Coturnix japonica: one gene and its partners. The protein of the gene in region 1 purifies or fractionates together with the protein of each later gene. This does not show direct contact. Links are inferred from orthologs where the notes say so. Each region holds a gene or a part of one and is shown in the gene's direction. Other genes may lie near its edges. The genes, in order: YAP1, AMOTL2, CCDC85C, PATJ, ALB, PHGDH and WBP2.

Region 1 (3,650 bases):
TTGTGTACCTTAAGTTGAACACTCAAAAGGAAGTGGAGACTGGAGGGCTTCTGAGAGAAAAGGTGATGCAGATTCTCTGAGATAACTATTTTAAGAAAGAAACTTTAATTGTTCATGTTCCAGGGATCCTTTTTCTATGATGAAGACTAAGACAACATATGATTTTATTTTAACTTGTAGAGGAAACATCGTGTCTGTCAAGCAGATGCAACGTTTTAGAAAACAAAATAGGTTTAAATCTTGTAATATTGTTGTCTGTGTAATTTGTCTACCATTCTTGTGCCAGCACTGATTTTGCACGTCAAGATTTGCTTAGAAGTCTAAATGGAGTCTGTAATACTCAAAACTGATTCCAAAAATGATGCAAATGGTTGCTGTGCGACCCGCACCCCATTGCAAATAGTGGCAGCTTGTAACCGAGGCAGCTGCTGGGTCTGAGTGAGATCTCTTTTGTCATTCTGTGCATTGGATGATTCTAAGATTCCATGTGAACAAGAAAAGTGTTTTTGTGTTATTTGTGTCTACATTGAAAATAATGTATTGGCAGGAAAAGCAAGCAGACATTCTAATTAAAACTGAATAATTTTCCCACCACTTTGACATTTTGCACCAATATGCACATTCAGGTCTGTTTTCAGGAGCTTTTAGAACAAGAATTACACATAAACATGAGAATGTTGCATTGATTTCACAGGAATAATAAATGTGAGCATATGTTTCATGCTGAACATCATTGTGACTGCAAGTCTTGTATGGTCAGGGCTTGTAATTTCTAGCTGTATCTTGTCTAAGGATAGTACTTGCCTTGTATTTGTTTGCATTTTGTTTTCAAACATTTGTTGTTTTGGTTCCATAGCCATGAATCAGCGAATCAGCCAAAGTGCTCCAGTGAAACAGCCACCCCCTCTGGCTCCTCAGAGTCCCCAAGGTGGGGTCATGGGTGGGAGTAGCTCCAATCAGCAGCAACAGATGAGACTTCAGCAGCTACAGATGGAGAAGGAAAGGCTGAGACTGAAGCATCAAGAACTGCTTCGGCAGGTGAGGCCACAGGTTAGACACCTACTATTTCTCTTGTATGTTATATTTTGTTTCGTTTTGGCTAAGTTGTTTCACTGATTTTTAAAGACTAATAACTGTGCAAAACGTTTTGAGATTTAAAAAGGTTTGAAGTCATTCTATTAGTGGTATCAGACTGATAGTGAAAGCATCTGACTTAACCCACTGAAGGATTTTGCCTTCCTCCCTAATTCCCCCCTCTCTAACAAAACTTTCTGAGATCAAGTTTCTTTGCTGTTAGGATGGCCTCATGGACTGTTGATCTGACTGGAGAATCCTCTTGAGAATATGTCTCATAGTCATTGAGTTCTGAGTCATGCAAAAAGAAGCTGGTTCCCACAGTTGTGTTAGTTCTCCCTTTTAAGTACACGGAGGTATTTCACTTTCAGAAGAACATGTTGGACTGTTGGATTCTACAGTTAAGTTTTTGTAAGAAACATTGAAGAGACACCTTGTTGCTAAAAATCTCATCTGTGTAACTGCGGAGGAGAGCGTGGAACAACTCAATCACTCATGCTGCATTTTGAACCACTGTTTTTCTTATAATGAGGAATTTCAGACTTCATAATTAGGCTGCAAACTGTTTCTTCTAGTGTTTTTGACTATATTAAGTATTGTCAGAATGAATGTCAAAGTGTAGCACTGGACATTGGCATCTCTGGATTTTGAGTTTGGGCTTGGCTTCCTTTTCACTTTAAACTTCTGCTTCCATTTTTCCATCTGTATGTTTTAAAAAAGGTTACTGCCATTCTTCAAGATACTTAGGATGTTCTTTGGTTTTGTTTTCTTTTTTGACACTGAAGAAAGCACTAATCTTCTCTTTGAGGAAAAGCTCTTAAAATCTTACCCTGTTCCCTTTTCACTTTGGGTGATGGGTCTTGTATCAGATGAGAATGATGTCTTCACCTCAAAGACAGCTTTTCACTTTCTTATTTACCTGCAGCATTCTATCCTGGAATCTGGCTCCCATTATCTTGAATAGTCAAGGCTTGTACTGTAGGATTCTTCAACATCTCTTGGTATAAGATGGGTCATCTTTAAAGCTGTTAGTTTTTGTAATACTCTAACTAAGAGTACATTGCAAAGATGGTGTCAGGACTTTCTCTGCTTAAGCACCTGGGCCTCTGCTGTTCCTGCTTTGCTATTAATCCACCAAACAAACATCTTACCCTGTGCTAGCATGCTTCTAGGTAGGCATTCTAATTTTCTTCTTGCCTCAGTTGTCATTGAGAATCTGACTAACTTTGAACCAGGTGACAGACAGTTCCCTTCGTGTTGTTCTCCCTGGGCATCCAGCTTTTCTGTCAAATACACATCCTTGGTAAACCTGTGAGTTTTGTTTCACTGTCTCATGATTTTTGTAGTTTCTAAACTCCCTTAACCTGTCTCATCTGGCCTGTCTTGGGGGCTTGATACTACAAGATGGTGTTTATAAGACAGCCTGCACAGGCAAAACTTGCAGCTAAAGTAATTTTTATCCATCTTATTTTTACTCATAGGCAATGCGGAATCCCAGCACAGCAAATTCTCCAAAACATCAGGTAGGCTCTTAACTGATGTTTCAGCATAATTAGAAACATGAAAACATTAGATTAGACTAGCTGAGGAGCTTTGCTACATAAGGGCATTCTAAGAAAAAAAACATGCTCTGCCAATACGTATTTTTGAACCATTTCTCTGATCATGACCCTAACATTATCTTTTAAGAGTTCTGCATTACCACAACTTGATATCAATATTTAAATGCAATGGGAATTCATTGCACAGTTTTCTGCATTGAAAGCAATGTTCTTGTTTAGCATTCTTGAAGATACCGCTGTTCCAGTCCTGATGTCATCAAGAAGTGTATTTAAAGCAAACCCCTCATTATTTCTAAGGTAGTAGTTTGTGGCTTTTAAGTTCTATTCACATGAATGTTCTTGATCTGTGTAAGCAGGTGTGATCATAAGGATGTCTGTAAATCTGTTAATAAAAAGTCACTTTAAAAGTTTATTATTTTTAAGCATGTACAGTGTAATAATCATTTAATAAATCAGACTAATAAAGTAATTGCTGTGGCAATATAGTATGTAATTATTCCACTTTGAGATTTAGCCAGCTCTTGCACAGATGCATTTTCTCTATTGGAAAAAGTAATTTTATAAAGCCTTCCAAGCTCAGAGCAAATGAAAATGGTCAAAATATGTAGCACAATGAACAGTTGAAAGTGGACTTCTTTTGGGCACTTCAGAAGTTGAATGTGAACTGAATCCCTGAAAGGGTGGATTTATGAATATATTCAGCTTATTGCCTGCTATGACTAACATTATTCTTAATCTACTAGCTTTTAGGACAATATTTATATTGGCTCATATTGTACTTGGTCTTTTTAAGAAATACAACATTATGCACTATACGGGAAACCCAGAATAAAAGGAAGTACTCTGTATTTGGCAGTTATGAGTACTGGTGTACTGTTGCATTCTTAAACGTACTGTAGAATTTATACGTCACTGATTCTTCTGAGAAGATCATCTTCAAAATGAGAAACTCAGACTTCAGAGACAGTACTGATGTTCTGAAAAATATCTTTGACAGTATAATCAGAGCACTAA
Region 2 (2,369 bases), on another chromosome or scaffold:
CAAATCCATGCTAAGGCAAGAGAGCTCCCTCTGTGCCCACAGGGCTGAAAGCAAAAGAAAAAGGGTTTTTGCCCCCAGACCTGTGTTGTTGTGGGGGTTTCTCACTCTGCGGCTCCTGCCCATCCTCTGTGGGTTTGCGGAGCCCTGTTGGCAGTGCAGGACGGGTCCTGAGCCTGGGCAGTGTTTCACCAGCATCTGCCTTTCTTTTCCTCATTCCACGAATATCTCACCCCCGCCCATCACTTCCTCCTCTCCAGCTGGAAACGGAGATCCAGCGCATCTCAGAGGATTACGAAAACCTCATGAAGGCATCCTCCAAGAGGGAGGCACTGGAGAAAGCCATGAGGGCCAAAAGAGATGGGGAGATGCGGCGGCTGCAGGACTTCAACCGAGACCTGAAAGGTGAGAGTAGCTGTGGTCCACAGCTCCATTGGGTGGCTCCCGTGCCCCAGTTCCCAGTTCCAGACCCTTCCTCTCCCCTATTCCTGCAGGCCCTCTCTGTCCATCAGCCTTTCCCCAGTATTCTTCTTTTTAGCAGTTTTATTAGTCGGAGTGTTTTCACAGGTGGGAGGGGGTAGGCGGATTCATCTGTCCAAAACAGCCTTTTTAAATCTCATTTCTTTTATTTGTGTTTTTGCACCAGAACGCTTGGAATCGGCCAACAAGCAGCTGGCCAGCAAGACCCAGGAGAACCAGGAGAGCAACCAGGGCACGGTGGCAAAGCTCCTAGCGCAGAGTAAGTCCCCAGGGGTTCGGCTTTGCCTGATTTGCCACAGCAGGGACTCAGTGCAGAAGCCTTTATGTTGGATGAAGAGGTGGGGGGGGGGTAGAGAGGAGCTTTTTGCCCTTCCCCAGGGATGGCTGTGCTGCTCCGGGCGCTGGATGCAAGCCATTAATCCCGGCCGGCCGGCGGGGTGACCTGCATTCTCCACATTCCTGCTGCCGTGTGCAGGCTCTTCCAGCACAAAGTCCGCACTCCCTCGCTGTGCTTGCCCAGCCCTTCCGTGCTTCTCTCCTGTGCAAGCTGGAATTTCTTTTCTTGGGGGAGAAATACGGCAAGATCCATAGCTCTTTATTTTTCCTAAATGCTATTTCATCAGAGAGCTGGCGTTGGTATCGTGGGGGAGGAATCGTGTCACAGTCCTTACATCAACAGCTAGGTGTAACCTAGGATGGATTTTCTCATCTCAGGCCACATTTTTGGCTGGAATTTGCCAAAATGAGGCTTTCTATGGCAGCAAGTGTCCATGGTGGTGTCATGTCCATCAGGGCACGGCCATGCTCTGAAATGTGTGCTGCAGGGTTGCCCTTGGCCCCAGTGCACCTCATGTGCTGGCTGAGGGCTGCTGACACCACACAGCTGAGTGGAGACCTGTGGGCACAGCCTCTTTTTTTGGCCGGGGGGCTCCGTGGGCCTTTTAACCCCCCTGCACTGTGTCTCCGAGTCTTAGACAGATGTTCTTTTGCAGGCTATGAGCACCAACAGGAGAAGGAGAAGCTGGAGCGGGAAGCCTCGCTGCTGCGCAGCGCCAACGAGGACCAGCGCCGGCGGGCAGAGCTGCTGGAACAGGCGCTGGGCAGTGCCCAGGCACGGGCAGCCAAGGCAGAGGCCGAGCTGCGGAAGAAGCGGGCGTATGTGGAGAAGGTGGAGCGGCTGCAGGCAGCCCTGGGTCAGCTCCAGGCTGCCTGTGAGAAGCGGGAGCAGCTGGAGCTGCGGCTGCGCACCCGGCTGGAGCAGGAGCTGAAGATGCTGCGGGCTCAGCAGGTAAAGGACATCCTGGGGACTGTGAGGTGGGAGGGGCCAGTGATCTGCATCCCAGCATCTCCTCACCTTCTCTCTGGGTCATTTCTTGGCTGCTGCAGAGGCAAGTGGGAACCACAGGTGGAGGGACGCCCGAGCTGAGTGCCCATAGACTGTCTGAGCAGCTGAGGGAGAAGGAGGAGAAGATCTTGGCCCTGGAAGCTGACATGACCAAGTGGGAGCAGAAGTACCTGGAGGAATGCACCATGAGGCAGTTTGCCATGGATGCTGCCGCCACTGCTGCTGCCCAGCGGGACACCACCCTCATCAGCCACTCACCACGGCACTCACCCAACAGCAGCTTCAACGAGGACCTCCTGCTGGCCAACCACAAGCACCAGGAGATGGAGAGCAGGTACCCCACCTTCCCTGTGAGCCACTTGTTGGGTGCTGCGAGCATCCTCAGTGGTCCGAGTGACTCCATTGAAGTTTATGGCTTTGATTCCATCACAAGGTCCTCCTTCCTATCTCATCTTCCCCCTCTTTGTCTCTCATCAGATTAAAAGCTCTTCATGCCCAAATCCTGGAGAAAGATGCCGTCATCAAAGTCCTGCAGCAGCGCTCACGG
Region 3 (4,409 bases), on another chromosome or scaffold:
CTACTCACCTGCATGCAGACACTGTGATTCTCTTCTCTGCAGGGAATTACCTGGGTTTGTGTGCAAGTTATGATGATTGTCTGTGTGTGGTACTATGGATTGACCACCTGCATATCCCATGTGAAGCAAGCCAGCCCTAGAACCAGTCCCAATCCTGTTACCTCATTGATAACAAAAGGATATAAGCTGCTTTGGGAAAGGAGAAGGGCCAAAAGTCACCACGGAAGGGATGAGCTCCGTCAGAAGAAGGTAAGTCTTTTGCTTCAGCAGGGTATTATAGAATGGCTTAGGATGGAAGGGACCTTAAAGACCAACTAATTCCAGCCCTCCTGGCATGGGCAGAGCTGCCACCCACCAGATTAAGCTGCCCAGGAGCCCCATCCAATGTGGCCTTGAACATCTCCAGGAACAGGGCATCCAGAACTTCCCTAGGCATTGTGGGGCAGTTGTCTTAGTTGTCTTAGCATATGCCTGGGCTCAGAAACCAAGCAGCATGCAAAAGAAAACCAAAGGAACTGCATATTTGCTGATTAGACTTAGGCAGAAGTTGCAATTCTCCATCCTTCTCTGGACCGATGCTCCCTCCATGCACAGACCATCTGCTCGGCATCCCACGCTCTGGCAGCAGATTCAATGCTTCTTCCTTGCTACAGGGTGTCTTGGACCAGCTCCACAGTGTGGTCAGAAACCTGAGGCGGTGCTGAGTTAACCCTGGAGTCAAATCATTTACCAAGGTACCTTGGGAACACAAAGCTGGCAACTCCCTGGGGCTTCTAAAGGAGGCTCATGTGGGAAATACTGGCAGCACTGCACTGCCCCAGTACATTTTCACTACGCGATGCTGGCCAAAAGCAGCTGATATTCCAAGGAAAAGTGCTTTAGACTAAAAGTCAGGGGATATGATGCAAGGATGTAGGAAATCTGCCTACACGTTGCCTAGGAAATCCACTTTGTGAACTTTTTGCACCCCTTCCTTGGTCCTGCCTAACGCGTTCAGAAGTGACACTGGCACACCTGATAGTAAAGACTATCGGAACCTGAGGAATAGCACTGCCCGTTTATAAAGGCAGTTCCGCCCCATATAACAGGGGGATGGTGAGGGCTGCAGCAACCTGCGGCAGGCACCCGGAGACAAAGGCGGCTCGGGATGGTCGCGGAGCTCCACCGCTGCGACCGAGCGTTTCCCAGCGCCTGGTGACAGCGTGGCCGTGGCTGCTCCGGCGCCGCACGGCGGGTTCGTCTTCCTGCCTGTCCGACCCCACCCTTCCCCGGGCTGGTGCTTCCCAGGAAAAGAAAGGAAGAAAGAGGAGGAAAAAAAAAAAAAAAGGAAAGGAAAAAAAAGGGAACCAGCGATGGGAAATAGAGGCAGCCCGGCAGCAGCGAGCAGGGCACGGAGGGGCGGGGTGCCGTTCCTTTGTACCTGCCGTTTGAAGGCGCCAGGCGGCCCCGGTCCCGGTAACCCGAGCTGGCTGCGGGGCGCGGCGCACCGGGGCCCGGCGAGAGCCCGGCCCGGCCCCGGCAGCCAATGGGGCAGCGTGGGAGGGCGGTGCTCGGCCCCGCGCCGCTCCGCTCCGCCGCCAGCAGCCGCCGCTCGCCTCCTCCTCCTCCTCCTCCTCCGCCACCGCCGCTCGGTCCGGCTTGGCTGACGCTGGGGCTGTAGGGCCGGGGTCGGGCCGCGCCTCCCAGCCCGGCAGGAGGTGGGACCAGCCCCGCGCTGCCGCCCGTCCCCTCCCTCCTGTAGGGCTGAGCCATTCCGGGAAGGCGCCGGCTCCCCCGCCGCTCCTCGGCAGCGCAGCACCGGCATCGGCCGCCACCGCGCAGGGCTCGGCCCCACGTCGCCGAGGGTTTGGGGGCGAGCGGCGGCGGCGGCAGCGCGGGGCCCGGCTCTCGTCTCCCGTCTCTCATCTCCCCTCTCTCGTCTCCCGCAGCGGGAGGGGCGAGGGAACAAGTGGACGGAGCGCCCCGGGGTTGGGGGTCGGCCGCCTCGTAGTTGTTTCGCCCAGGGTAAGTTGGCCGATCTCCTGTGAAGGCTTCGCTCGCAGCCCGCCGATTCCCCGCCGCCCCCAGCCCAGTTTGGGGGCGCGTCTTTATTTATTTTTTTTCTTTCTTCCCCGTCTGGATTGCATTTATTTTTTCTTTTTATTATGGAGTCTATGGGGAAGCAGATATTCCAGTCGGGCTTTGCTGTACCACCTTGTCCAGCACGTTACGAGGAACTATAATTTTTCTTCCCTAAGATGCAGCAGTGAATTTCAGTCCCAGGAAGTCAAGCGAACAAAAATAATCCAGATAACCTGAACCGTTTGCTACTCTGTAAGAGCAGGCACTTTCCAGGCACAGATGATGGCCAAAAATTCCCTCGAGGGGTCTAAAGAGGACCTGAGCAAGATTTCCGAGGAGGAGATGCTGAGGTGGAGCAAGGAAGAGCTGGTGAAAAGACTGAGGAAAGTGGAGAATGAAAAGATGAACTTAATGGTGGAACACGGCAACTTGATGAAGGACGTGAACCGGAGGCTGCAGCTCCACCTGCACGAGATCCGCGGGCTGAAGGATATCAATCAGAAGCTGCAAGAAGATAACCAGGAACTGAGAGACCTCTGCTGCTTTCTGGATGACGACAGGCAGAAAGGCAAGAAGCTGTCGAGGGAATGGCAGAGGTTCGGGAGGCACACGGCCAGCGTGATGTGGAAGGAGGTAGGCATGTACCAGCAGAAGCTGAAGGACTTGGAGGCGAGGCAGGAGACCCTGCTGCGGGAGAACGTGGAGCTGAAGGAGATGGTGTTGATGCTGGACGAGGAGCGGAGCGGGGCCGGCTCACGGAGCTCCATCGACAGCCAGGCCAGCCTGACCAACCTCAACGGCGGCTCGGCCACCAGGGACGTGGGGGACGGGAGCAGCACCTCCAGCACGGGCAGCGCAGGCAGCCCTGACCACCAGCACCACCACCTCCATCATCACAAGGCTGGCGACAGCAAGGCCGGGGCCATGCGGAGGTCCATGGATGACCTATCTGCACCTCTTCATCACCGGAGCATCCCCAACGGTCTCAATGGTGAGTTTGTCCCCCTTGCAGCCCTGCCTGCAGCAGGTGCCTTTCCTTGAACCCACCTCCTCTGAGTGCACACCTGCCTTGTACTGGGGTGAGGGATGCCGTGGGGGGGGAGATCTTTCAATCCCCACCTCTGCCCCTGGTGTTCCCAAGCTGCTGTGGTAGGGGTGGTTCAGGGAGGAGGTCACTGGGCTTCACTCTGCTGCTTGGCTGGCTGCTGGTGTTTGAGGTTGAAGCTTGGAGGCATTTATCCGGAGGACTGTGTTTTGTTTTGTTGCTGCTTTTTTTTTTCCCCCTCAAAAAAAGCAGGCTGTGTTTTCAAAGTTAAACACTGATTTTCCCATCTCTCCCTCCTATCTCCTCCCCCCTTTACGTGTTCTGAGTTACATTTGCCTTGTTTATTTGCTACTTGTATCAGGTTGATAAAATCCCAGCTGTGATTTTTGGAAGTAGCTGATGGAAGTGCAGGGCTGCCCCACGGACATCACCTGTTCTTAGCATTGTGAGCTCTCATGGCAGGCTGCCTGGCTGTGCAATGCCCAGCAGTTAGAAAGAGCTGGGGCTTTGCTTTCCTCTGTTCCTCTTCAAAAGCAGGAGGATGGTTTGCAGAGAAGAAGCTGCTCTCGAAGGGACGCTGTGTTCACCGTGTTGTGTAGATCAGTCATTAAAGTTAGAAGCGAGCTCCAGGGTGCAACTGTGCCAAATCTCTGACTGCTTGTATTCAAGCACGTTTTCTCCTGTTGTCAAATAGTGGCCAGACATTAAAATAATAATATTGGAATGTCTTTAAAATAGATTTTTTCTTTCAATTTAAAACCAACAAGACCTATTTTGGCCAAGAGGTTTTAATGGGAGTCAAACCAAGCACCAATCTATTTAATTGTTGTATACAAGAATCCTTTTGATGTTCTTAATCCTCTTTTCCAACCAGAACAGGGATCTGGGATGGGGCTTCTGGATGCGTTGGCCAAATAACTGCCTTCTGTGCCCAGAGCTTTTGGTTGTCCTAGTGGGGCCAGAGAGTGCAGGGCTTTTTTGGGGGGCTTTATGGCAAATGCCCTGAGAGATCTGAGGGCACATGCAATGCACCTAATAGCCCAGTTTTCCAGCCGCGTGCTTGTCCGTGAATCCGCTGTGCTCGGTCCTGTTGCTGCAGCTGCATGTTTCCACTCGCAGCTGGAGATGTTCCTGCCACCTCGCCCAGCAGTCAGGGCACGCTGCTTGAAAGGGCGATGCAGTCACCAGATGTTGCAGGATCCAGCAAGCATCTTTCTTTTCTTGTTATTTTTTTTTTCCCCTCTCCTTTTTTTTTTTTTTTTTTAAGTGCTGTGTAAATCAGCGGTGTCCTGTTTGTAAAGCT
Region 4 (4,290 bases), on another chromosome or scaffold:
CTATTTTTCTAGCGTTTTTGAGAATTCCAGCTCTCAGCTGTGAGCTGCGCAGGACCCTGAGCTGTTTACATGGGGTAAATGGACACTGAGTGGCAGATGTGCCCAGGACAGGCAGCAGTGCTGTCAGCGGGTTTCCTTCTGCACCAGAAGCATTTCATTAGAAACATATGGGGACCCAGAGACTGAAAACAATCACAGACTCACTACAGTTGGAAAAGACCAGTGAGATCTCCAGCCCACCATCCAGCATTCACTGCCCACATCCCTCCGTGCCACCTCCCCACAGATCAGGAACATCACCAGGGATGGAGATCAAACCACCCCCTGCACAGCCCATGCCATGTATCACCATTCCCTTCTGAAAGTCTTTTGTTATCATACCTGGTTATTTTCCTGAGTGAATGGTGACTTACGCATAAATCCATTCCTATGATTTGTTATTGTTCCAGGCACTCAAAGAATTGGTAAAAATGTGGATTTAAAAATACACGGATGTCTGACAAAGATCTCACTGATGTGAAATAGCGCTCACAGCTTCGAGGGGGATTTGTGTGTGCTAAGTCCAGCAGATAAACTATGCAAATGAAAATTGATATTCCCTTCAGCAATTGGGACAGAAAGGCCACGCACACAGTGCACCCTGCAATGAACTCAGCCCTCCAGATCGGGACTGGGGTGCTCCAATGGGAAATGTGCTGTGCTTCTGTGTCTACACTGTAACTCAAGGATGGATAAATACAGGGCTTGTGGCTCGTCACTGTCAGGAACGTTGTCACTTCTCACGAGCGCTGCGTTAATTAAAGTTGAGAGTGAGGGCTGGGAAGTTACACAGCAAGAAGCTGAATTGCTTTCAAGGGAGGATGGAGTGGTGTGTTCTTAGTGTGTTGTGTGCTTTAGTGCAACTGCTATTGCTTTGAATGGAAAACAAATTGGGGGAGGGAGAGAGAAAATGCTTGTTTTGCAATGAAATGCATTGGTTTGGAAATGCTTACCCAAGTGCGAGAGCTACACATGAGCTCAGGAAACTGTGTAGCAGAATAAAGAGTTTTTGTGAGGTTTCATTTTATATTTTCAGTCTGTGAGTATATATACATAAGAGCAGACATATCCACAATCCAGAGGCGCTCCATAGGAAAAGCATTACAGCTGCTTAGCTCTGTCCTGGCCCCACACTTCTCGAGGCTTTTCCCATCTCAGTGATAGGGTCCGTGCTGCAGAGCACGAGCACAGCTCATCTCATCCCTACAGGACTCAGGAGCTCGGAGCGCCTGAGTTCTTGTTTAGCCGTCGCTTTACTGCGCATAAATACACAGATCGCTGTCTCGCTCTCGGCTGACCTCCCGGCACTATTAAAGGCGGCTGAGGGCAGCGTGGCCGCTCCTTCCATCCCATGGCCGCAGCCCGGCCGTGTGCCTCCCCCGCCCGCTGCCCGCCCGTCCCCCGGGAGGCGGCTCTCCCTCCGCGCCGCCCCGGCTTCCTGCGCCGCAGGTGAGGCGTGTTGGCTTCCCGCTTCCGCCCAGGTGAGAGCCGGCGGCCATCGCTGCACTCCGACCGCCTCCTCCTCCTCCTCTTCTTCCTCCTTCTCTTCCCGGCCGCAGGTATCGAGCGGCCGCCGGCCCCGCGCCCACCGCAGCGGTGCGGCCCTTCTCTCAGCAGCGTCCCGAGGGGCGGCGGGCGGCTCGTTCGTCCCGCTGCCCTCCCTCGGCTCGCGGTGGGCCCGGCCCGGGGCGGCCCCATGGGACGGCCCGCTGCCCTCGGCGCCCGGTGCGGGTGTAGCGTGGGGCTGGGGAAGGCAGGCGGCCCCTTTGGGGGCTCTGGCTCAGTCACTCAGTGGGGTGTGGGCAGCTCCCATCGCTTGGGGTGATGGTAACATTAAGTTGTACCGGAGCAGGTTCCGGTTGGATGTTAGGAAACATTTCTTCTCCTATAAAGAGTGGCCAAACTTTGGGACGGGCTGCACAGGGAGCGGTGGGTCTCCGTCCCTGTTGGGGTGTTCCATAGCTGCAGCAATGTGGCACTGAGGGATGTGGGGACCTTAGAGGCCTTTTCCAGCCTTTTAGTACATTTGTGGCATTTTTCATCAGTGCTTTTCAATCCGGCAGTTCTTAACAGTTTTTTGATTAGTACTTATTTAGGGATTGATTAATAGGACAATTGTTCTCTGCTTTCTTGTCAAGTTTTTGAGGCTTAGAAATGGAGCATGGCTTCAGGTTTAACAGTTCTCTTCCACAACAGAATGGTTTATCAGTTGAATGCGCTGTCATCACCGGAGCTGGAGCACTCAGTGTCCTGTTGCACTCAAATTAGCTGCTCTTTAGATCCCAGAAGTAAATTTTCCACGAGTTTTGCTAGGACAGGTTTCGTAGCATGTTCATGGCTGCACTGAGTGGCCTCAGTGTGAGCTCAGCCTCCTATCAGACATCAGAGGCCCCATGGCAGTGCTCCCCTCTGGGCTGCAGCCCACAGGAATTCAGGTTTTGCCTGTGGGAAGCTGACGTGCCTTGGACATGAATAAGGCTGCTCTCAAAGCTGCTAATCACAGGTACACGGGATTCTTTTGCTTTCCTCGGCCTGCAGTCACTGAGGGCTTCTAACACCGGGATGGTTTCCCCACAAAGGTGGTTTATTGATATTTGATGATATTTAGCTTTGGCCTGTTTTTTACCTGAATACACTTGGTGTGCTTTCATTGATGTACTCGCAGCACCCTTCACTTGTTTCTTTCTTGCAAGAGCCTGGAGCAGCTCAAATACACTGTAGTGATTTTATAAAGACTGTAACAAAACACAGCACAGCAGTCCTTGGTGGTTTCATCTGTGAGGTGTGTATGTGCTAAGTTTGGTTGGATTTAATTTTCCTGTATGTTTGAAAGTGGAAAGCCGAGCAGAACAGCCAAATGTGCTACAGTGTTATTCTTTAATCAGTGCATACTGCTTGTAAGCTATGTCATTTTTAATACTACAGCTTACAGGTGATGCTACATTATGAACACTTGAAGATGAAGTTCATGCTGTTTTCTCTTGCTTTTACCTTTGCTTAGATGGAAATTTTCCAAGCTAGAGATGTTCCCAGGACTGATGAAGACGCCCCATGCACATATCAGTCATTCCTGGTAACAGGGCTAGGAAAAATTACAGCTGCACCAGTGCAGAAAGGTGACTTTGGATCGGGATGTACCCTTGGCTGTTTGCTGCTCAGATGGCCCTGTTAGGAGCCTTGAAAAATAGCAGCAGTTAGCACTGTGTGGTGAGGACTTGCAGTGTTCAATGGCCCAGAAGGTTACAGTGATACTGAGAGCTGCGGAGAGGCAGGATTTCCCCTATGAGCACAGCTCTTGGAAGGATTCACGTTGTTGGGGGTGAAGCAATTGTAGTTGTTAGGTGAGAGGGGGGACGTGGGCAGAAGCAGCTCTGTTGGCTAAACCGTGCCCTCCTCCAGCTCCCAGCACAGAGCCCCTTAGTTTTGTCTCCCAGGAGCCTCCGCAGAGCAAGAACTTGTCAAGGCCACTGCCAGAGGTGTCGTGTCGTTCTGAGCCTGGGATGTGCCGGGCTGAGTGCCCCGTGGCAGCTCTGGGGGGTGATGGCAGGGGAAGACTTAAACCTTTCAGCTCTTCTGATGACCTCTGCTGGCACCAGCATGGGGGAATTCCTTTTTTCTTAGTTTGCTTTTGAAGGAGATCCAAGTCTTAAGATTTCATACAAAACCTTATGAAACTTTCCCGCTCCCTATGATGCGTTGAGTTCAGCTCTCAAAAGTGAAGACAGTCAAAACCCAGATACACGCTGTGCTGAAGAGTGGGGTTTTTTTCTGGGGTTACAAAACACTCCGCTTTCTGAAACTCATGATTTTCGCAATGATTTTACGATTACGTTGGGACTTGTGACATGAATTTTGAACTTTGAGGTTTGCAGCTTTGTCTACCAATAAGATAATTAAGTGGCTGTAGAAATCTGGGAATGGAGTTGAGGAAGTTGAATGCAGAGTGGACAAATAGTTTTTTACAAGACAAACCATGGTGTTTTGGGTTACTTCATAACTATCATCGAGGAATGGACCTCTTAATTTGTGAATGATCTGTTGGCACCCCGATCAGGTCTAAGCATCAGTACTTGGAAATTGATTAATGATTATGTGTTTGGGTCCTCAAACACAAACAGGGCTATAGTGGATGGAGCTGTGTGCTTCTCTGGAGCCTGAACACCAGTCTTGGGGACTTGTTCTCAATTACATATTACTTGAAAACTTGGAATTAGCTTGTGTTCTCAGGGATCCCCTCGCACCTGAAGGAGC
Region 5 (3,650 bases), on another chromosome or scaffold:
TTTAGCAGGGAGGTTGGACTCAATCACCTCTTGAGGTCCCTTCCAACTTCTGCAGTTCTGTAATAAAACTTTCCAGGGCTACTTATTATTAGAAACATTTTACAGCCATTCAAAATAGACAGGAAACAGCAGAGGGTGATTCTTACACAGGTGGCTCAGATCAGAAGTACAAATTACAAAACCTTGTTTTCTAGGCAATTGAAGTGAGGTGAGAACACTGCTGATCTACCATGTCATATCAGTAGTGACTTGCAACTTCCTGTTCAACACGGAGCTTTGAGTCAAGTGTATTTTTCTTCTTTTCTAACTAGAAAACTTGCTCGCCTAAGCCAAAAATACCCCAAGGCTGCATTCTCAGACGTTGCTAAACTTGTACATGACACTAAGGAGATCCACAAAGAGTGCTGTGAAGGGGACATGGTGGAGTGCATGGATGACATGGTAAGTTTAATATTCTTCAAAAAAATGTTTACATACAGGAAAACCAGTAGGAAGAATATTTCAGCAGCTATTCAGAGTCCAAGGAACTTGTATTCAGTGCTGCCAAAAGGCTCCTCAGCCTCTAGAAAACAGCTCAGATGGCTGTTAATGGAAACAGATTTTGTACCACTTCTAAGTCTATCTCTCTTTATGATCACAAGAGCAAGGACTGGTTGCAGACAGGGTAGAATGGGTATTTGGTTAAAAAACAAAACATTTACTATGGTACTTGTTTGATGACATTTAGTCCAATTCTGTTGCTAACAGGGCAAAAGAAATCAGAGGCAAAAAGGCCAGAAATCCTTTGCAGCTCTGATGCGTATACTGCCATTAATCCAGCTTTCCTTTATTGCCAACAAATTCTGTAGGACAGCTCAAACAGGAGGATTTGCAAAACTGCAGTAGTAACATTAACTAAATATTGCCCGCCCAGCTGGAAATTAGACATACTTCTTAAACCTATAACTAGCTTGTGTCCTAGGCTGGCTTCACGAGAATCTAGAGCTTTTAATGTTTGGTCTTCTGTCAGAGCTGATCACGCAACAGGATTGAAGAGATCAATCAGTCACCTTTGTGACAGTCTCAGAGGCTTTCACTGCTTTTCCAGAGCTTGTCTTAAAGATTCTAAGATCAGAGAGGGAACCTTATTCTCCCTTGTGCCTGAGAACATTGCATTTTACATACATTGGAAATGCCAGTCCCTCTAATTATTTCTTTTCCTACAGAGACAGCATTTGTTTAGGAAACTGCTCAGTAAATAAGTAACCTGAATGAAAATGGAAGAGTTGAATTAATCTATCTTTAAACTATTATTTCATAGCTTGTCTGAGGCTATGTTTTAATTTTACAGGCAGAGATCATAAACAATATGTGCTCTAGACAAGATGCTTTCTCAAGCAAAATCAAAGGCTGCTGTGAGAAGCCTGTTGTGGAAAGAAGCCAGTGCATTATGGAAGCAGAATTTGATGAGAAACCTGCAGATCTTCCTTCATTAGTTGAAAAATACATACAAGATAAGGAAGTATGTAAAAGTTTTGAAGCAGGCCATGATGCATTCATGTCAGAGTAAGTAGTCCCAGCAGTGCATAAACTTGTATTTGAACACTCTTCTAAATTATCTGTTCTCATGTCTGGACCTTTTGCACCACAAGGGGGAAAAAAGCACAACAAAAACCTACCCTCTTGGGTGTTTCAAGTTTGCGTGGAGAAGAGAGATCATGACTACCATATGGAAATCCAGTGTGACAGATGTAACTCAAGCCTAGGTTCTCATTCATGCTTTGTGACTGCAAAGCACTGCACTACTTACCAAAGCTGAATTGAAATTCATTGCTTTTCCTTTATTCAGGGTTTCTGTTCAGGTCCACATACATTATCAGCTTGAGAAGCATTCTGTCCTGGGGAGGCTATTCTGTTCTTACATTTGCCCTGTTGGCAGTCAACAGATTGGTCCAAAAAAAAATAATCTGTGAAAACAAAGTGTTCACCTTACATGATCTCAGCTGAGAGACTCTAATGCTGTCTGCTCATGCGTCTTTCAGATTTGTTTATGAATACTCACGAAGACACCCTGAGTTCTCCACACAGCTGATCCTGCGAATTGCCAAGGGATATGAATCACTCCTGGAAAAGTGCTGCAAAACTGATAACCCTGCTGAGTGCTACGGAAATGCTGTAGGTGCAATGTTTTGTCTGCATGTAACTAAAATGCTTGCATGATACCTATCATGAAACAATTGCATAAAAGAGCAGACAGAAAGCATTTTAAGAGACTAATCCCCAGGAGAAGTTAGTATTCTGATGGGACACAATGTAGTCCAGATCCAATGACAACGTTATAAAGTTAGCTCAGCTAACTTTATAACTCCATTGGTCAGGAACTCCATTGGTCACCCTCAAAACTTTAGACTAGTCTCACTCCATTTCCTGATGCCTCTTACTCTCAAAACTGATACTGTTTGTCCTAAATAAGATGGTTAACAGCTAGTTAGCCAAATTAATCTGTTCTCCTGCTTATTTGAGAAGCTGCTCACTGATTATAACAGAAACTGGTATGGCCAGCTCACATACAGAATCCTAAGTTCTGGTCTTCTGACCTTGAATTTAATCATACACAAATCAGTGTAGAAGTTGATTCACTGGCAGCTTTGGCCCAGCTACTGAAGGAGGATGTTCCTTCTCACAGCTGATTACCCTATACTGCAGAAATAGTCACTTGATTTTAAGAATAAAGGAGACAAATCCCTAATAGAGATCAAGTCCAATGGACAATTAAATTTCAAAAATCTTCCTGTCATTTTAATTCCATTTCTGTCAGAACTGAATTCTCCTAAGTGAATCAAGCCCCCTTACTCCAGACAGACTCAAAACAAATGGTTGGCCTTGCATAATGGGTATTTTAGAGCTAGTAAGCTTTAGAAGAGACCAAAAACTCTATCTGTACAATTGTTACCAAAATGTCCTTCTCTACTGTTACTGATAAACTTACACTTGTTTGCAGCAAGAACAACTGAACCAACACATCAAAGAAACTCAGGATGTTGTGAAGACAAACTGTGATCTTCTCACTGCCCATGGCGAGCCAGAGTTCCTCAAGTCGTAAGTACTTTCTGATAAGCATTCTTCCATGTAAACAATTATTATTCTGGCCACCTTGGGAGTAGATATACTTTGCTGGTCTAGTTCAGTAGAGCATTCTTCAGATGTGTATGAATAGTCATTTTGTTGTGCTTTTTCAGCATCCTGGTCCGCTACAGTAAGAAAATGCCTCAAGTATCAACTGAAACCTTGCTTGAAATTGGAAAGAAAATGACAGCTATTGGTACTAAGTGCTGCCAGCTTCCTGAAGACAGACGTATGGCTTGTTCTGAGGGTTATGTGAGTACATTTGTTTATTTTCCTTATTCCTCTCTGTGATTTCTTCTATTCTCAAAACCACTGAATTCTGCTGAGTTAATAAGCTGACACTGAATTTTCGTAGCCCCAGAGCTAATTATCCACATAACAGAATTGGAATCTCATTTTTTAATGTATGTGAGAACCCATATAGCTTCCTCAGATTGGGAGCTTTTGAAAATTTTAGCTGAACTTGGAAAGCAAAATTCAATTGATTGAGTCTGTAGGAGCTCGTGTTTGGAAAAGCTGAAGAGTCTCTTAAAAGAAAACTGTGC
Region 6 (4,244 bases), on another chromosome or scaffold:
CAGTTGCCACCTATGTCACCAAGTGCCACATTAGACGTACCCACCACTCCGAGGGGCTGTTCATGGGACATGGGGACTGTGTTCGGGTCTCTCCATAGGACCGTGGGTGCACACCAGTTAGTACCTTCATCCAGGTCCCCACATCCCTGCAAGGGCTGCTGGGTGTAACTCCTGCTCTGCTCCCCAGGAGAGGGCACCAGCTGCCTGGGGAATGCTGCTCGCATTGCATTGCGGTGGTGCCTCGGTCACACATGCCCTCGAGTCACCGCATGAGACAGGGTCTGCAGGGGCTGGGCACAGCGAAGGGCCCCCACCCACTGCAAGGCGTGTCCCCTGCTTGTCCCCGCACATGCAGGAGGGACAAATGGTTTGGGAGCCACCAGGAAGGGCACCCAGCTAGTGCTGTCCCAGGCTTGGCAAGTGCCTTGAGCTCGGCCTTAATGGTTAATAGGGGCCAGGGCCAGGCATGGAGCTGTGCCAAGGCACTGGAGCAGGGCCGAGGGGCCGTGTCCACACATCCTGCCCTGAATACCCCCAACATATACCGTGCATGGGGAAACCGTGCCCCTGCAATGGGTCTGCAGCCCCTCCAAGAGGCTGTATGGGGCCCTGCTGCAGAATGTCTCCAACCCCAGCCTTGACCCCACCTCTGCCCCATGCCAGCTGCCTCGGACTTTCCTCCCTTTGGCGTCACGGTTGTTCCCTGGCTGCAGCTGCGGTGGGTGCACACGGTGCCGGGGTGCACACAGCCTGCAGTGAGTGTGCCCTGTGCCGGCCGCATCGGGAGGTGTTGTCTCCATGACAAAGGGGACACCCTCCGTTCCTGCCCTGTGCCACGTTGCCGTGCCGTCCCCTCCAGGGCCAGCGCTTTCCCCACTCGGTCACCTGGCTCCCACCCCACGGAGGGCGTTTGCTGGGTGGCTCCCGTTCACCCCATGCAATTGGGAGCTGCCGGCGGGGCTGGCCCCGTGCCCCCAGCGCTTATCGGGGCATTGCTCAATGGTGGGCGCAGCGCTGGATCAGCGCAGTGGTTTGCCACCACCTCCCTGTGGCGGGGAAACTGAGGCACGGCAGTGGAGTGGGAGGTACGTGGGTTGTGGGGGTGCTCGATGCTTTTGGGGGCCCTGTTGGGCTCCCTACTCCGTCATCACAGCAGCTGAGGGTGAGGGGCTCAAGGGGTTTGGGGGGGCTGGGATCCTGGGCTCGCAGCCACCCGGCGGCGATGGGGAGAGGAGGGAAAAGAGGTGGGAAAGAGGTGGGATTATGGAAATGGGATCCAATGAGACAAGAGAGCAGCCCGCAAAACATGCCCCACCGGCGGCCCATTTAGTGCGGCGGGCAGCGCACAGCAACCTCTTTGGCCAGAGCTGTGCGGACAAGCAGCGGGCACGGACCCCTGACAGCCCCAACAGCCCCACACCGAGCGATGGCCTTTGCCAAGCTGCAGAAAGTGCTGATCAGCGACAGCCTGGATCCCTGCTGCAGGGACATACTGCGGGCCGGGGGCATCCAGGTGCTGGAGAAGCCCGGGCTGAGCAAAGAGGAGCTGCTGCAGGAGATCCGGGTGAGCAAACCGGGGTCTGCGTGCAGCTCAGAGCCCTGGGCTGGTGGCAGCGGGTGGGCACAGATGGGCACCATGTGGGCACCGCAGCTCTGTGTCCCAGACAGAGCAGACACACGGTGAAAGGACGTTGCAGGACGGTGGGAGGCTGGAAGCCCCCTCGCACAGCGGGTCATGTCCCCGCCTCCTGTGTCTGATGCAAGAATCCTGGCTGCTTTCACGCTGCTGATCCCAGCCCCAGGCCCCCGGTTCTTCCCACCCCACCACCCACCCTGCCTGCCATCCCCACGGCTCAGCCCCGATCAACGTGCGGTGTCTGTCCCTGCAGGACTGTGATGGGCTCATTGTCCGCTCGGCCACCAAAGTCAGCGCCGACGTGCTGGAGGTGGCGGGCAGGCTGCAGGTGGTGGGCAGAGCTGGCACCGGCGTTGACAATGTGGACGTGGAGGCAGCCACCAGGAAGGGAGTGCTGGTGATGAAGTAAGAGTGGGACCCGCAGCCAGAAGGGAGGCATCCTGCTGGCACGGGGCTGGGGGGTCAGCACAGAGCCCGGCCTCCCCGTGGGTCTCCATCCCTACGGGGAGGTCACACGGTGACCCCGCTCCCTGTCCCCAGCACACCCACCGGGAACAGCCTCAGCGCTGCAGAGCTCACCTGCGGCATGATCCTGTGCTTGGCCAGGTGAGTGCAGGGCTGTGCGGGGTGGGGTGTCCAGCCCACAGCCCACAGCCCTGCGCTGACTGTGCCCTCCCCTACTGCAGGCAGATCCCACAGGCAGCTGCCTCCATGAAGGAAGGCAAATGGGACCGAAAGAAGGTATGGGCAGGAGCAGTGCCTGGGAGGGTGGGTACTGGGGGGCCCCTGCTTGCTCACCACTCTCCTCACCCCCCCAGTACATGGGCATGGAGCTGAATGGGAAGACACTGGGTGTGCTGGGGCTGGGCCGCATCGGCAGGGAGGTAGCCACACGGATGCAGGCTTTTGGCATGAAGGTGAGCAGCAGGACAAAGGGCAGTGGCGGGGAGCAGGCTGGACACAGCTGTGAGCCCCCACTCTGCTCCAGACCATCGGCTACGACCCCATCATCACCCCTGAGACCTCGGCTGCGTTTGGTGTGGAGCAGCTCCCGCTGGAGCAGATCTGGCCCCGCTGTGACTTCATCACGGTGCACACACCACTGCTGCCCTCCACCACGGGTAGGGCAGTCTGAGGGTCTAGGGATGTTTTGGGGCTGTCCCCGTATCCCTGTCCCTGATGGTGCTCCTCACAGGGCTGTTGAATGACAGCACCTTCGCCAAGTGCCGCCGTGGCGTGCAGGTGGTGAACTGTGCCCGGGGTGGCATCGTGGATGAGGGAGCGCTGCTGCGGGCACTGCGCTCAGGGCAGTGCGGAGGGGCTGCCCTCGATGTCTTCACACAGGTGAGAGGGGTCCCCCATGGGGCCATCACCCAAATTGGGCCCCAGGATGGGCACAGGCTGAGGCTGGGGCCATGTGCAGGAGCCCCCAAAAGACAGAGAGCTGGTGGACCACCCCAACGTCATCTGCTGCCCACATCTGGGTGCCAGCACTCGGGAGGCGCAGAGCCGCTGCGGCAAGGAGATCGCCATGCAGATAGTGGACATGGCCACTGGGAAGGGGCTGGTCGGCGTGGTGAGTCCCCTGGTGCACCTCAGAGACCCCATGTGTGATAGATCCCCACTGCTCATCCCATATCTCTTCTCAGGTCAACGGGCAGGCGCTGAGCAAAGCCTTTGCACCCCAGACCAAGCCCTGGATTGCCCTGGCCAAGGCGCTGGGCACAGTGTTGCATGGCCTGGCCAAGCAAGCGACAGGCAATGTGCAGGTCTGCACCCTAGGTGAGAGGTGGGCACGTGAGTTCCAACACAGGGACCCATGGGGATATACTGGGTCAGAAGGCAGGAGGTGGTTGGATGATGGGATGAAGGATGGGAAGCAGGGGATGGATGGAATAGAGGGAATACAGATGGACATGAGCTGATCGCAGCACTGATCCTAGGGGCCCCCCTGAAGGATGCCAGCAGCTACCTGGCACCTGCTGTGGTGTCAGGCATGCTGGCTGGAGGAAAGAAGGAGCCGACCCTGGTGAACGCCATGCTGCTGGCCCAGGAGGCCGGCCTGAAGGTACTCGGAGTGCCACACAGCAGCCCAATGCCACTACGTCCTATCCTTCCTTGGTATAACCCCACAGGGCGCCTTGCCCTCAGGGAACATCCATGTAGGATGTGGGTGCTGAGTGGCCACCTTTCCCCACCAGGTCACAGCCACCCATGGTGACACAAGCCCTGAGCCCGAGGGCTTGCTGCAGGTGGCCCTGCAGGGCACCCCACACCGGGTGACAGGAACAGTGCAGGGCAGCAGCCCAGTGCTGCGGGAGCTCAACGGGGCTACCTTCAAGCAGCCGGCACCACTGGTGGGCCCTCTCCTCATCTACAGAGCCAAAGCATCTGAAACAAACACACTGCCCACACTCGCTGGTAAGCTCCTGGTGTCACCCCAAGCAAGGGAACATCTGGGGGGTCCCCACAACCAGCCTGGAGTCAAAAGGGGAACCATGCTGATAGGGCGTTGTGTGGAGAGACAGGAGGGGTGGTTTGGTTGTAGGGTTGGGGAATTGGAAACGCAGTGGTGCAGACTGCCCAGGGGAATGGTGGGGTCACCCTC
Region 7 (4,351 bases), on another chromosome or scaffold:
TTCTGTCCTTGGCTTGGAAATAACAAAGTTGAAGAGATGAGATGTTTTTTTCCCTCGATGATTTAATCTGTATACATGAAGTTCTGGAGCTTCCCATGCACGCCAGCACTTCCTGACATGAAGGCTGAGTTTCTTAATACCAAACGTCAGCCAGAGCTATGAGAAGAGCATTACTGGGGGCACTGTTAGCTCAGGGAGCATTGGGGGAAGCTGTGTATGTGTGCTACTGACTTTAATAGGAGAGGAATTGGGGCTGTTGGTTATGAGCATTTCTTAAAAGGGAAACTTGCAGCTTATTGAAAAAGCGGATACAAAAGGCACAAAGCTGTGCTTTTCTTGCCAAGAACTGTACGCTTTATGTCTCTGAGTTGATTTCAGTCTGGTTTCCATTATGGAGCTTTCAGTTTCCTCGCTGCCCCTGGGGATTTGCAGGCACTGGAGGAGGGGCTGGGCTGCAAACCCTGCAGGGAAAGCTCAAATCCATACAAAAAAAAAGGTGTAATTTAGCCTCATATCACCTCTTAAAACATATTCACACATTATGCTGAGGGTTGATACGAGGAGTCCTTCAAAACATGTCATTCTGCAGCGGTTTTAATGCAGTTATGCAGGTGTTATGATTGTTTTAGGAGTCAGCTCCAGTTGGAGGCAGTGGGTTATACCCAAACTGTAGCTGTGCCAATAGTGCAGGTATTTTCCTGTCCCCGGATTTCCTCTCGCCCACAGAGCAGCTTTCTTTGTCTATGGGGTGACTTTTTGGCCCCTCCAGTTTAACCCTCAGTGGGTTAATTGTAGGAACCCAGGTGTCTGGGACACAAAATGGGCACTGAAACAGCCTGGAAAGTGGGGGGGAACCTTTGCTTTTAAAGGGGTTGAGCCTCATTTAGTGCACAGTATAACCAGATTAATGGCGTTTTCATTGTGAGCAATGAAAACGTGCAAAGTGCAGCCAAAGATAAAGTCCTGGAAGGGGAAAATAAAAGGGAATTGGAATGCAGTCAGGGCACTGGGCAAACCGTGCTTTGTTTGTGTGAGCTCTGTGGTACTATCTAAAATAGGAAGCTGGCAGAAGAGCTGCCAAGTCACGCAGGCTGCAAAGAACTGAGCTCATTTTATTATATATGGTCAGAGGGAGCAGAATGGGGTGATTGATGGGATGGGAAATGGGTTATCCCAAAAAGGAGCCCGGCTCTTTGGGTTGTGTATAGCAAAGTCAATATGATCTCAGCAGCTGGCTGGAGCTCGGGGAATTAATAGCAGCGTTAATTGGTGGCACTGCTCCTCGGGGACGGCAGACGAGGCTGAGTGAAGCGGTGAGATTTGGGGCAGAAAATAACCCTTAAGGAGCGACCTACACCACCCCAAAAAACCAACATGGCTGCCGAGCGAGAGGACTACAACTCCCAGCATGCCCGGGGAACACCACCCCCTCGAGACTACAAATCCCAGAGCGCACCGCGCGCCCAGCGGGCTCTTCTTCGCGCAGGCGCAGTGCGAGCTCGGCTCTGTGAGGCGGAGGCGGCGCTGAACATGGCGCTGAACAGGAACCACTCGGAGGGCGGCGGCGTCATCGTTAACAACAGCGAGAGGTGAGCGGTCAGGGGCCCAGCCCTCTTCTCTCTCCTTCTCCGAGCCCCTTTCCGTCCAAAATGGCCTTTTCCTGCGGGTCATATGGGGCTGAGGGGCTCTAACACCCGCCCCCCCCCCCCCCCCCCGCCATGTTGGGGTTAACCCTTGGTGTGCCCTATGTGGCTCATTAACCCTTGTTTAACCCTATGTGGCTCATTGCCGTCATATAGGCCCTGGTTCGTGGCCCAGGTGCCCTTCTGTACGACTGGGGATGGTAATAGGTCTAAATGTGCTGTGCACACCATTAGGGCCTGGTTTACCTGACGTGGATGTTGTCATATTAAGACAATACTACCTGCATCCATATGGATGTGTTTTATTGGTCTTAATCAGGCTGGTTTCTGATTGAGGCTTAAGGAGTCAGTGTGGGGTTATAGGAGTGAGAAGAGGAATGATCCCAATCACGTTATAGTGACTGAGATGGATTCTTGTGACCTCTGGTCGCCTCATTGCATAACCCAGGCTGAGGGGTTCCTGCTAAGCAGCCCTACCTGTGTTGTGTTGCTTGTGGTGAAGCAATTTAGGGAAATGATCGGGCAGAAATTCAACATAATGCAAGAAATACATTGAGAACTTGAGTTTAATTGACTGGATTCACCAGCCGGCTGTGCAAACAGCTGTATCAGCTCACTGAAGAAGGAACACGAGGCTGAGAGCAAGCAGAAGTGCAAGGCAGAGTGAGCATGTGTGCTGGGTGCTGGGCTGAGGTTAAGGCAGTTCTGGTAAGTCAGTGAACTCTACGTGCTGGAATCTGCCCCAAGCTCTAACACTGTGCCTCTTCTCATCTTGTTTGCAGCGTTCTGATGACCTATGATCATGTAGAAATGACCTTCAGTGATGCTGAACCGATGCCTGAGGCGTTCAAAGGGACCAAGAAAGGGAGTGTTTTCTTGACTCCCTACCGAGTAAGTAGTAAAAGGCATTAGAAAGAGATCAGAGTTCTTCATGGCTCTGCACTTCTACACGTGCATGAAGGTCTGGATAATGTACCCGTCCTCCCCTTGTGGGGAGCACTGTGGCTTCATTGCATGTCCTGCCTATTTGGCAAAAGATAATCAATCTGATTAGTTGTCAACCATGACATTAGTTCTTACCTGGGCAGCTGTTTTAGTCCACCAGGCATCTTCAAGATTGGAAATGAGCGATGGTTTGGAAATGCGGAATGGAGCAGTTCAGCTACTAAATCACAGCTGTGAGTTCTCTAGGAACTGGGAGGAGTGTTATCTGAGCAAGTGTGTAATCCTTCTGGAAGGCTTTATGGCCTTGAGGCATCATTTTACCCTTGTGACAGTTCTGAGAACCCTGGGGCTTGCAGAAATTACAAGGATCTTTGAGTGTGGGAGGCAGATTCAGTCCACCAGCAATGTCCACAGATAATAAACCGGGGCAGTGTTTCCTGTTCATTTTAAACACCCTTTGTAATGTTGTTTCTTTTTCAGGTTATCTTTATATCGAAGGGAAAGGATGCTCTGCAGTCTTTTGGGATGGCCTTTTATTTGTTGAAAGATTGTGAGATTAAGCAGCCTGTCTTTGGAGCAAACTATATCAAGGGTACAGTGAAAGCAGAGGCAGGAGGTACGTATAGCACTGATACAAAGCTGAGCTAAGATGCAGAACTTCTATAGTTCCTAGTAAAGTAATTATTCATTGTAATGTGAAGTGGATACTGGATGCATAGGTTCTTTCAGTATTGCTAAAATGTGTTTTTCTCTTTGAAACCAGCGGCTGAAAATATTCCCCCCTGTCAGCTCTGTGCAGTTACAGTGAACAGATTAGCTGTGTAACTGATCTCATTCCTGCCCTCTGTATGAAATTCAGAGTTCAGGCAGCCGAGTGATCTCACTGAGTAAACATCAGAGCAGGGATCAGGCTGTGACAGCAGCACTGAGGGCGTTGCTTGGCCTTGGTCAGTTCAGCCTCTCTCTTATTTATGCATCCAGATCCTTCTGTGCCAAACACTCGCGGTCTGTTCTGGATCTGTACGGATTTCGAGGTGTGAATCTCCAACATCCGTTTATTGTGCAGTTTAGGAAAAGCACTGCTGTATTGTTTGGAAGATGATGGATTACCTTGAGCTTAGGGAATGTTCAAGGGCAGCTTTATAATATGTTCAATGAGGAGTTGTGGTAGACTTCTTTTTTCCTAAGAGATACTTTTATCACTGTCCTATGCTTCTACTTCTTACCAAGGCACTTATTTCATCCAGAGCCTGATTTATTCCCTTAGCTGTGGCACTGCAACACAGTGCACTGCTCAGAGGGCTTCAGCCTATTACCCTGAAATCAGCCTTGTAGCTTTTCTATGGCAGCAAAACAAGACCATCCAGTGTGAGAGGAGAGCTGAGCACTAAGGACAAACACTAAACTGTGTGAAAGGCAAACTGCTTTAACAAAATCTCTGTGAGTCCCCCCCCAGAGGCTGGCTTAGTTAATGAGGATGTTGCTGCAACAGCCAGAGGAGTCTGGCTTAGCTCAAAAGGCTCTTTTATCTCTGTATCCCTGTTTCATTACTGACACAGCTACTGCTTTGATGCATTGTTGGCACTCTGGGCTGTGCGTGGTTTTCTTTTTTAGCCTGTAATAAGAGAAGTGGCTAATTCGTTTTTATTTTTTAATTATTATTATCCTGACTTGAAATATTTTCTATGAACTCTAATGGATTTATGCGATACTTGTTTTTTTCATTAAGCTCTTTGCTTCACTGGGCGCTCAGACTCCCAAAC

The links.
Region 2: the proteins of YAP1 (region 1) and AMOTL2 purify together in Homo sapiens (affinity purification with mass spectrometry; 10 studies listed by BioGRID and IntAct, with this or other methods). This does not show direct contact. The link is inferred for Coturnix japonica from reciprocal best matches to the Homo sapiens genes YAP1 and AMOTL2.
Region 3: the proteins of YAP1 (region 1) and CCDC85C purify together in Homo sapiens (affinity purification with mass spectrometry; 5 studies listed by BioGRID and IntAct, with this or other methods). This does not show direct contact. The link is inferred for Coturnix japonica from reciprocal best matches to the Homo sapiens genes YAP1 and CCDC85C.
Region 4: the proteins of YAP1 (region 1) and PATJ purify together in Homo sapiens (affinity purification with mass spectrometry; 7 studies listed by BioGRID and IntAct, with this or other methods). This does not show direct contact. The link is inferred for Coturnix japonica from reciprocal best matches to the Homo sapiens genes YAP1 and PATJ.
Region 5: the proteins of YAP1 (region 1) and ALB purify together in Homo sapiens (affinity purification with mass spectrometry, with the first as the bait; 3 studies listed by BioGRID). This does not show direct contact. The link is inferred for Coturnix japonica from reciprocal best matches to the Homo sapiens genes YAP1 and ALB.
Region 6: the proteins of YAP1 (region 1) and PHGDH purify together in Homo sapiens (affinity purification with mass spectrometry, with the first as the bait; 4 studies listed by BioGRID). This does not show direct contact. The link is inferred for Coturnix japonica from reciprocal best matches to the Homo sapiens genes YAP1 and PHGDH.
Region 7: the proteins of YAP1 (region 1) and WBP2 purify together in Homo sapiens (affinity purification with mass spectrometry; 7 studies listed by BioGRID and IntAct, with this or other methods). This does not show direct contact. The link is inferred for Coturnix japonica from reciprocal best matches to the Homo sapiens genes YAP1 and WBP2.

What each region holds. Positions count from the first base shown.
Region 1 is NC_029516.1:163,414,855-163,418,504, reverse strand, and holds part of YAP1 (transcriptional coactivator YAP1), read left to right. Parts: intron 1-856; coding exon 857-1,050; intron 1,051-2,555; coding exon 2,556-2,597; intron 2,598-3,650. UniProt on the Homo sapiens protein: Transcriptional regulator with dual roles as a coactivator and corepressor. Critical downstream regulatory target in the Hippo signaling pathway, crucial for organ size control and tumor suppression by restricting proliferation and promoting apoptosis.
Region 2 is NC_029524.1:3,381,897-3,384,265, forward strand, and holds part of AMOTL2 (angiomotin-like protein 2), read left to right. Parts: intron 1-257; coding exon 258-402; intron 403-643; coding exon 644-736; intron 737-1,469; coding exon 1,470-1,765; intron 1,766-1,863; coding exon 1,864-2,156; intron 2,157-2,299; coding exon 2,300-2,369. UniProt on the Homo sapiens protein: Regulates the translocation of phosphorylated SRC to peripheral cell-matrix adhesion sites. Required for proper architecture of actin filaments.
Region 3 is NC_029520.1:43,763,033-43,767,441, reverse strand, and holds the start of CCDC85C (coiled-coil domain-containing protein 85C), read left to right. Parts: upstream 1-1,579; 5' UTR 1,580-2,340; coding exon 2,341-3,052; intron 3,053-4,409. UniProt on the Homo sapiens protein: May play a role in cell-cell adhesion and epithelium development through its interaction with proteins of the beta-catenin family. May play an important role in cortical development, especially in the maintenance of radial glia.
Region 4 is NC_029523.1:24,546,424-24,550,713, forward strand, and holds the start of PATJ (inaD-like protein), read left to right. Parts: upstream 1-1,430; 5' UTR 1,431-1,520; intron 1,521-1,579; exon of another isoform or gene 1,580-1,598; intron 1,599-4,290.
Region 5 is NC_029519.1:45,350,489-45,354,138, forward strand, and holds part of ALB (serum albumin), read left to right. Parts: intron 1-311; coding exon 312-441; intron 442-1,330; coding exon 1,331-1,545; intron 1,546-2,021; coding exon 2,022-2,154; intron 2,155-2,980; coding exon 2,981-3,078; intron 3,079-3,218; coding exon 3,219-3,357; intron 3,358-3,650. UniProt on the Homo sapiens protein: Binds water, Ca(2+), Na(+), K(+), fatty acids, hormones, bilirubin and drugs. Its main function is the regulation of the colloidal osmotic pressure of blood. Major zinc transporter in plasma, typically binds about 80% of all plasma zinc.
Region 6 is NC_029523.1:4,130,407-4,134,650, reverse strand, and holds the start of PHGDH (D-3-phosphoglycerate dehydrogenase), read left to right. Parts: upstream 1-1,320; 5' UTR 1,321-1,426; coding exon 1,427-1,564; intron 1,565-1,889; coding exon 1,890-2,041; intron 2,042-2,176; coding exon 2,177-2,242; intron 2,243-2,322; coding exon 2,323-2,377; intron 2,378-2,454; coding exon 2,455-2,553; intron 2,554-2,624; coding exon 2,625-2,757; intron 2,758-2,831; coding exon 2,832-2,980; intron 2,981-3,059; coding exon 3,060-3,212; intron 3,213-3,285; coding exon 3,286-3,418; intron 3,419-3,579; coding exon 3,580-3,704; intron 3,705-3,837; coding exon 3,838-4,057; intron 4,058-4,244. UniProt on the Homo sapiens protein: Catalyzes the reversible oxidation of 3-phospho-D-glycerate to 3-phosphonooxypyruvate, the first step of the phosphorylated L-serine biosynthesis pathway.
Region 7 is NC_029533.1:4,035,624-4,039,974, forward strand, and holds the start of WBP2 (WW domain-binding protein 2), read left to right. Parts: upstream 1-1,454; 5' UTR 1,455-1,530; coding exon 1,531-1,589; intron 1,590-2,425; coding exon 2,426-2,534; intron 2,535-3,068; coding exon 3,069-3,204; intron 3,205-4,351. UniProt on the Homo sapiens protein: Acts as a transcriptional coactivator of estrogen and progesterone receptors (ESR1 and PGR) upon hormone activation. In presence of estrogen, binds to ESR1-responsive promoters. Synergizes with YAP1 to enhance PGR activity.